Canis lupus familiaris: one gene and its partner. The protein of the gene in region 1 purifies or fractionates together with the protein of each later gene. This does not show direct contact. Links are inferred from orthologs where the notes say so. Each region holds a gene or a part of one and is shown on either strand. Other genes may lie near its edges. The genes, in order: CDC42BPB and FAM167A.

Region 1 (3,807 bases):
CAGACTCCCCACTAAACAGGGAGCCCGATGCAGGGCTCAGTCCCAGGACCCAGAGATCATGACCCGAGCCAAAGGAAGACACTTAACCGGCTGAGCCACCCAGGCACCCCTGACCCTGTGTCTCCTTAATGAAGTCCGTGAATGACACATGGTCACATGTTAATTGGGAAATTTCTGACTGTGGTCTCCTCTTCTTCATCTCCCAGACCCTGATCCCTTCTCACGCAGTGACCACTCTGTGTCACATGTCCACCATGCTCCTCCTTCCAGCTGACTTCCACTTGTCTGTCTGCACTTAGAATGGTAGAGAAGCATATGGTTCATGGGAGGGTGTTATTCCCCAGAGTAAGTGGAACTGCACCCAGCAGCGTGCAGTTGTGTAACTCATCTTTCCCACGAGTGTGTCTGGAGAGCCGAGTGCTAGCCCCACAGTTCTAGTGATGAGGAGGCCCAAAGTTTCAAGCTTAGAAGGCATTTGGCTTGATGCACTTAGATGCTTCATTTTCCTTTAACAAGGCATGGCCTCAGCCATAGACAGTGGCCTAGCTAGAGACAAGACACTTGACGTTGTTAGGCTTTGGGCTTGGATTCTTGCAGAGTAGACGGCCCTCTGGATTTTGTGTTGCTTTTTACAAATAGTCCTGTAGTATCTGTATCCCTGAGTAATAATCCTTCCTTTTGCTATGTCAGAGCTTTATACACTCCGTGTCCTGCATCTCCAGCCTGCTCCTCTCTTCAGCCTCACGTTTCGTTTCCTTGTTGATCGTGTTGTGATACTTCTGCCCTTCCAACAAGGGGCAGAGAGGCCCTTCCACTTAGGAACAGGGCTGCAGTTCATTTCTTGTGTGTCTCTTGGTCTCACATGCAAGTGCGGCTCTGGGTGCCAGCCTACCCCAAAATGAGGGCCCAGGCCAGTGCCCAGGAGCCTCCAGGAGGCACAGTTCCCCTGCCCAGCCCTCCTTGCTGTTTTTGGTAGCATGACCACTCACCAGAGAAAACATGTTGATTGATTTTCTGGCTCAAGCTCGATAGGTGGGTGTTAAGCTCTACTCTTTGGTTAACACCAGGAAGGAGCATATACACCTTAGAGTGAAATTGCGCATTTGCAGCTTCTCAAGGTCATGCCCAAGTTTATAAACTTGATCACGAGCAGATTGATCGTCTCTGCCCAGAGCCTGGATCTCACCTTCTTGGTTTTCCTCCTCCAGCCGAAAGCTCACCAGTTCAGCATCAAATCCTTCTCCAGCCCCACACAGTGTAGCCACTGCACGTCCCTGATGGTGGGGCTGATCCGGCAGGGCTACGCCTGCGAGGGTGAGTGTTAGCCGCATGCCATCTCAAGGGGAGCATTATTCCAAAGTCAGATGAGGCTGAAGCAGGAAGCCTAATGGTGAGCTAGCCGAGGGCAGGTTCTCTGTCTTTAGTTTTATAAACGCTCCGTAGAGGTTTAGAGGTTAGGGAGACACGGTCCAGAATCCTTGCCGCAGCGGGAGAGCCCAGTGCGGGGGGGCGGCCCAGGCTATCTGTGGGTTGTTGTTACTATAGAATGAAACACCCCCAGTTCTTCTGTAAAATCGGGAAGAGCAGAGAGTAAATAGAACTTTATGCTCTTCCACTGTTACATTATTTGAGGGTGAGCACCAGAATTTTGTCTCCTCATGTCATTGTTGGCCTCGTAACCACCTCTATGCTGTGCTGCTGCCCTGTGCTGGGTGCTGCACTCACATGGGCCACCGTGACCACCTCGGTGTGATGTGATTATCCACCTCACCAGTGAGCAGCCAGCTGAATTCACACACAATGACAAGTGACAGCCACTAGTCACGGGAAATTGCTCTGCAAAAGCAGCTTTGCGTGTTTCTATCTGGTAGAACCCTTTTTCCTTGTTTGCTGGCAGGCCTTCCAAGCGTCTGCTAGGACCCCCTGTATGTCTGCCCTGTTACACGCCTGCAGGTGGTTTGCTCTGCAGGCAATTTGGGGACTTAGCTATGGGGAGTGAGGCACGGCTCCTGGGGGAGCAGCAGCTCTGAGGCCACACCCCCAGTAAGGCCCCCACAGACAGGCTCCAGAGCAACTCGGTGCCAGAGTCCCAGGGCTTTGTGGGAACTGTTCCAGAAACAGGATGTTGGGACCATTCCCATGACACGTGGGCATGACCGAGAGGCCTCCTCTGTGGTAAACGCTCTCTGGCGGCTTCTGCTCTGGAGGAAGCAGGTTCTGATTATGGTGCTTCTTCACTTTCCCAGTGTGCTCATTTGCTTGCCATGTGTCCTGCAAAGAGAGTGCTCCCCAGGTGTGCCCCATCCCTCCTGAGCAGTCCAAGCGGCCGCTCGGTGTCGACGTGCAGAGAGGCATAGGAACAGCCTACAAGGGCTATGTCAAGGTAGGATGTGTAAAGATCTGGGTGGGGACAGACACTTTTGCCTCAGTTCTGCTCTCCCTGTCTCGGGACTGATAACCTACAGTCACTCCACACTGTTCTTGACAGTGACCTTTGTGGCTTTGTGAAGTTTGTGCTGGTCCCAGGAGCCTCCCCTCCTGGGCAGTAAGGCCGCGGCTGGCCTTTCTGGCCCAGTGGAACGTGGTCACTGTTAACTGTAGGTCCCAAAGCCTACTGGGGTGAAGAAAGGATGGCAGCGGGCTTACGCGGTGGTCTGTGACTGCAAGCTCTTTCTGTACGACCTGCCTGAAGGAAAATCCACCCAGCCTGGTGTCGTCGCCAGCCAGGTCCTGGACCTCAGGTCTGTCCTGTGTGTTCTGTCCTGTTCTGTGAGTTCTGAGTGACTTCTCTTTAGCCAAAATGTGAGTTTGTTGCTGGGTAATCCTTAACCTCATTTATACCTTCACTTCCTTAGTCAACAGAGTTTTAAAAACAGATGCTTGATGTGTGCACTAGAAACTTCCCTGCGTGGGTATTTTTGCACTCAGCAATTTGGCACAGGCATTTTAAGATGATTGCCTGCCCCAAGAACAGGTAGGAGATATCCCAGAAACACACTGCCAAGCCCAAGGAGTCAGCACCTGAACGTCCTGTGTGAAACAGAAATCTAGAGCCCTGGGCTTTGCCGCATGATGCCCTCCCTCACCACTTCACCTGTCATCACGTGCCTTCGCAGTATCCGACATATGGAGATGGCACAGTGTCTTCCCTCCCTCCTGGCTACCCTATGGTTAGCGTCCAGCTCTGTGTTTTCCCGTTGGTAAAATGGGCATGATTTCGTCATTAGGTCGGAGGTTAGTTGTGAAGATCAAAGCAGTTAATAGAAGGCACACGCTGAGCACAGGGCCTGATGTCCTGTCTGCCCATTGGCACCTGCCCCGGGCTAAGGACAGCAGGCTGCAGCGGGTGCTCCTGATGATGGTGTCAGGGACAGACATGTAGCTGAGTCACCTGCACTTCCAGATCCCTCAGGTGATCCCTCTTATTGGTCACTGGGCACAGGTGGGCCCTGGCCTGGTAGCAAAGAGCCCCCCAGCAGGCTGCCCTGGGGTGTGGTGTCAGGTGGAGCTCAGGATTCAGGGTGTCAGATATGGGCCTTGCACAGCTGTTTGCCCAGGTTGTGTCCCCTTCTTTAGAAGCCATTAACAAGCAGCCACTTGATCGTAGCCAAATATGGGCCTAATCAGCAATATGTTCGTAGCTGGAAGCGTCTGGCACGGGCCAGAATAGTGTGGCTCAGGGAAGAGGCTTTTGCTCTCACATCCCTCATCACTACACCTGCAGGGTCGAGTCTGTTGGCTTTGTCAGCATAAGGCACTCTTATCCAGGGGGAGGCTAGGGGCCTATCTTATATTCTGGAACGTAGA
Region 2 (3,807 bases), on another chromosome or scaffold:
ACAAACCAGGGAGGCCTCTGCCTACCCTGTTGACACAGCAGTTATGAGTGGCTCTCCAAGGCAGCTGGCTGTTGGTGCTGGCTCACCTGTGTCCAGAGTGGCCTGACAGGGCAGGTGTTACCTGGGCCACAGGTAAGGAGGAGGGACAGGAGTCGAGGTCATGGGGAGCATTAGCACCGTGCCTGGCTTTGCCGAGGGGCCACGATACCCAGGACCAGTGATTCTCCCCTGGGCAATGGGCACAAAACTCTGAACACCTATTCTCTTTCCCACCTGCTGAGAGATGCCACTGATGGGAGCCTGCTGTGCCCGTGGGCGGAGGAAAGCTGCTGCCCTCCCCCTCCCCAAGCATACCTGTTACTCATGCTCATTCCCCCAGATGCCCCTCCAGGTGCTGACTTCTGGGCAGACTCTCACTCAACCTCCAAGACCCAGCCCAAAGCTCTCAGGCCCCATCAACCGCGCCGCCCTCACAGCAGCTCCTTACACACAGCTCAGTATGAAGGGAGCACTGTGGGCTGACCTTGAGCCACGTAGAGCAACCTCCAGCCACACAGCTCTGGGCCTGCACAGCCCCATCTGTACTTACCCCCCACAGCCCCAGGGTTCCAGCACAGCGCCCCCTCCCCACTCCCGTGGAGCAGAGTAGCTTGCTGAGGAGGGCTCCTAGCAGGTGGGATGGACAGTGAGAACATTTTGGAGGGGAGGGACATCACACTCCAGGAACATCCTTCACATTTCGGGAATAAACCTATGAGACTCTGTGCAAGGAGGGCGTTGGGGAAGGTCGGGGCACACAGGCTTCCTCCTCCTCCTGTGACTAGGGGCTGATTGGCATGTGGACCTCACGTAACCGCACAGTAATGAGGTCTACCCTTGCTTTAATGGGGGAAATGACAGATGCCCAATTGGGAGGGATAGAGGTTGGGGGAGAGGCGGAGAGATAAAGAGAGACAGACAGAGGAGAGAGAGAGATGCCTTTTCTGGGGATTCTTGGAGGGGCAGCCACTTACCAGTTCCTTCCTGAGCCAGGCTATAGCTTCGTCAATACTTTCAAAGCCTTCCAGCTTGCCGGTGGGCTGGGGCCCAGCATCCTGGCTGGCACGCCTGTTAGGTGGGGGATGCTGCTTGGACCCCCTCCTTGGGGATGAGGGCTCCTCCTGCCCACACTCCCCCTGCTCAGCAGCTGGCCTCGGGAAGGGCCATGTCTGCTCTTCCAGCCTGGCTTGCCATTCCAAGTAGGAAGGCCTCCGGGTCTCCAGCCTCAGTTTCTCGGTGAGGGCCTTCAGGCTCCGCAGGTGGTCATCGGGAGGCAGGGCTGCTCCTGCTGGCTCTTCTTCCCCACCAACCACTTCTTCTACTTGGATCTGAGGCACAGACATCCTAGAGTCTGCTGGGGCGGCCAGGCATGGGAGGTGGTGGGGGGCGGTGTGGGAATCTTGGTGGGTGGCAAGATTGGTTCCCCCTCAGGAGTGATCTCATCCAGCTGGGTTCAAGGCTGCTGAGGGCATCGCTGGGATGTGAGGAGCTCCCTGGAGCTGACAGGGACCAGGATGTGGACGAGCCACACAGTGTGCCCTCCGGAGCAGTGGTGGAGGTTCAGTGTTTAAGATTCTTCCCGGAGTCCTGTGGGTGCCATGCTTCACAAAAGGCAGGAACAGACAAGTGTCAGCAGGAATTTTGGGGGGGGCAGATTTGCCAAGATCAGTCCTGGAGGTGCAGGCAGATCAGAGAGAGGCAGGGAAGCAGGACTGAGCTCCCTCATGGGCAAGGGCAGGCGGTGAGAAGCTGCCTGCCGGCTGGTAGGAGGCCCTGCAGGAAGGATGCAAATGATGTCAGTACTAATCCCGCCCCTGGCAGACCTGCCACATTCCTGAGCTCCTTAGGAGGGGAAACTGAGGCTCAGAGAGGTCAGGTGACAGGGCTGCGGATAGTTCACTCAGGACTAGAAGTGAGGCAATTTCAAGGCTTAACCCAATGCAGAGAAGTCAAGAATAAATCAGGGCTCTCTACAGGGTTTCACCACTTTTGAAATGATTCCACCTCCATTATCACATTCAATCCTCATGGCAAGTCTGTAGTTACTTCTCCGAGTTCCCATTTTGCATGGGAGGAACCTGAGGCTCTTAGAGGTTGAATGACTCACCAGAGAGCTCTTGGCCATTAGCAAGGACAAGTCTGGGTTGTCTGATTCTGAAGGATCAGGTCTCTCCTCCGAGCGACAGCTACCTGAGGGTCCCCAGGCAGACACTGTTGTGCCATGGGTCTCAGGTCAGGGACCGCTGACCCCACCCAGCACAGCCCCCCCACCCTTCTTCAGGCACTGGCTCTTCCAGGTCTTACTGCGCACTCTCAGCTGCTTCTTCCAAGAACAACACCTTACCTCACGCTTCCGAGGAGGAAGCAAATAAACCTGCAACGGCTGAGGGAAGAGCCGACCTCACTCAAGGAGGATTGTTAAACCAAGCGAGGTTTGTGACTCACCATTCTAGAAAGATGGGTCGCACATTTACCTAAAATGCCTGCACCGCAGCGCCTCGTGGACAAGGGCTGTGGCTTTCTGATGTGACTTGGCCTTCCCACCTCTGGGGAGGGGGTCTGAGGGCAGGTAGAGAAATCACTCCGAGTCCCAGGCCAAGTCCAAGTGAAGCTCCAGCCTCCCAGCCCCATCCCTGTGCCCACAGAGTCCAGGCAGGTGGAGATGGAGATGGGTACATCAGAGTTGGGGATGTTTGACTTGGACCAAGGAGAGAAGTCCTTGGTTCTCAGCCGGCTCTTGAAAAAAAATGTGTGCTGAGGGCATGCTGAAAAAGCATGAATTCATACGGAAAGATGTCCAAGATAAAGCTTAGGTGAGAAAACCCAAAACATTCATAGTCTGGAGAGTACACTGTTGGTGTGGAAGAGGAGAAGGGGAAGATTTTTATTGATTTCTATATACCTAAAATGATCTCTGCAAAGAGAAAAACGAAAACTAAGAGTCCTGATGACTTGTTTGGGTGACAGGAACTGGGCATGGGTGTTGGTGGGCAGGCATATGAAGAGGCAGAGAATGCGGGGAGTGGGGAGCAAAATAAAAACAGAGACTTGGCCCCCTGGGGAGGCTCTGGGGCTTCTCTCCCACCGAGCAGTGGAGATATTCAAGAAGAGCAGGACTTTCTGTCTTTCTGGACTGTTTCTACAATCCCCGCCTGCAACACGATCTGACCAGAGGAAGTCTGGCCATCCTCCCCATGCTCTGAGCCTGGCCCATTTGAGGGCATCCCTGAGGAATGAGGAGGAATAGTCTACCCCAACTAATAGAGAAACCTACTGTTCACCTCTAGCCACCCAGATGGGAATCCCCAGAGGAACCTTCACAAAAATAGATTCCCAGGCTCCATTCCCAAGGGGTTCTGATTCAAGCAACTTGGGATGGGACGTTAAGGCTCCGCAGGTGATGTGAGGAAACAGCCAGGGCTGAGAACCACTGGTTCTGAGCTAGAACACTAGACTAGAGATCAGATGGCGTAGGTGCAGGGCCTGTCAGGCTTGCTGAGCCTCAGTTTCCTTGCCTATAAAATGGGGGTGATCATACCAATCTCCTAGGTTTGGGAGGATTGGCAAACTAAGGTTTGTATCCACTTTCTGCAGGTTTAGCAAGCTCTGCAAACGTGGGGGTGTTCTCGCAAGGGGCTTTCAATGCACTCTCAAGGTTACACAGGCTATTTTAGAGTCTCTCTGAATCTAAAGACCTATTAGCAGCCCCTCCCAGGCACTGCCTCTTTTGCTGAGGTGCCAGAAAGTGTTTTGAGTGTGCCTCGAAGC

Evidence for each region.
Region 2: the proteins of CDC42BPB (region 1) and FAM167A purify together in Homo sapiens (co-immunoprecipitation; 3 studies listed by BioGRID and IntAct, counting the BioPlex papers as one, with this or other methods). This does not show direct contact. The link is inferred for Canis lupus familiaris from reciprocal best matches to the Homo sapiens genes CDC42BPB and FAM167A.

What each region holds. Positions count from the first base shown.
Region 1 is NC_049229.1:71,230,447-71,234,253, reverse strand, and holds part of CDC42BPB (serine/threonine-protein kinase MRCK beta), read left to right. Parts: intron 1-1,208; coding exon 1,209-1,314; intron 1,315-2,246; coding exon 2,247-2,383; intron 2,384-2,601; coding exon 2,602-2,741; intron 2,742-3,807. UniProt on the Homo sapiens protein: Serine/threonine-protein kinase which is an important downstream effector of CDC42 and plays a role in the regulation of cytoskeleton reorganization and cell migration. Regulates actin cytoskeletal reorganization via phosphorylation of PPP1R12C and MYL9/MLC2.
Region 2 is NC_049246.1:26,612,511-26,616,317, reverse strand, and holds part of FAM167A (protein FAM167A), read right to left. Parts: intron 1,813-3,807; 5' UTR 1,383-1,812; coding exon 1,014-1,382; intron 1-1,013.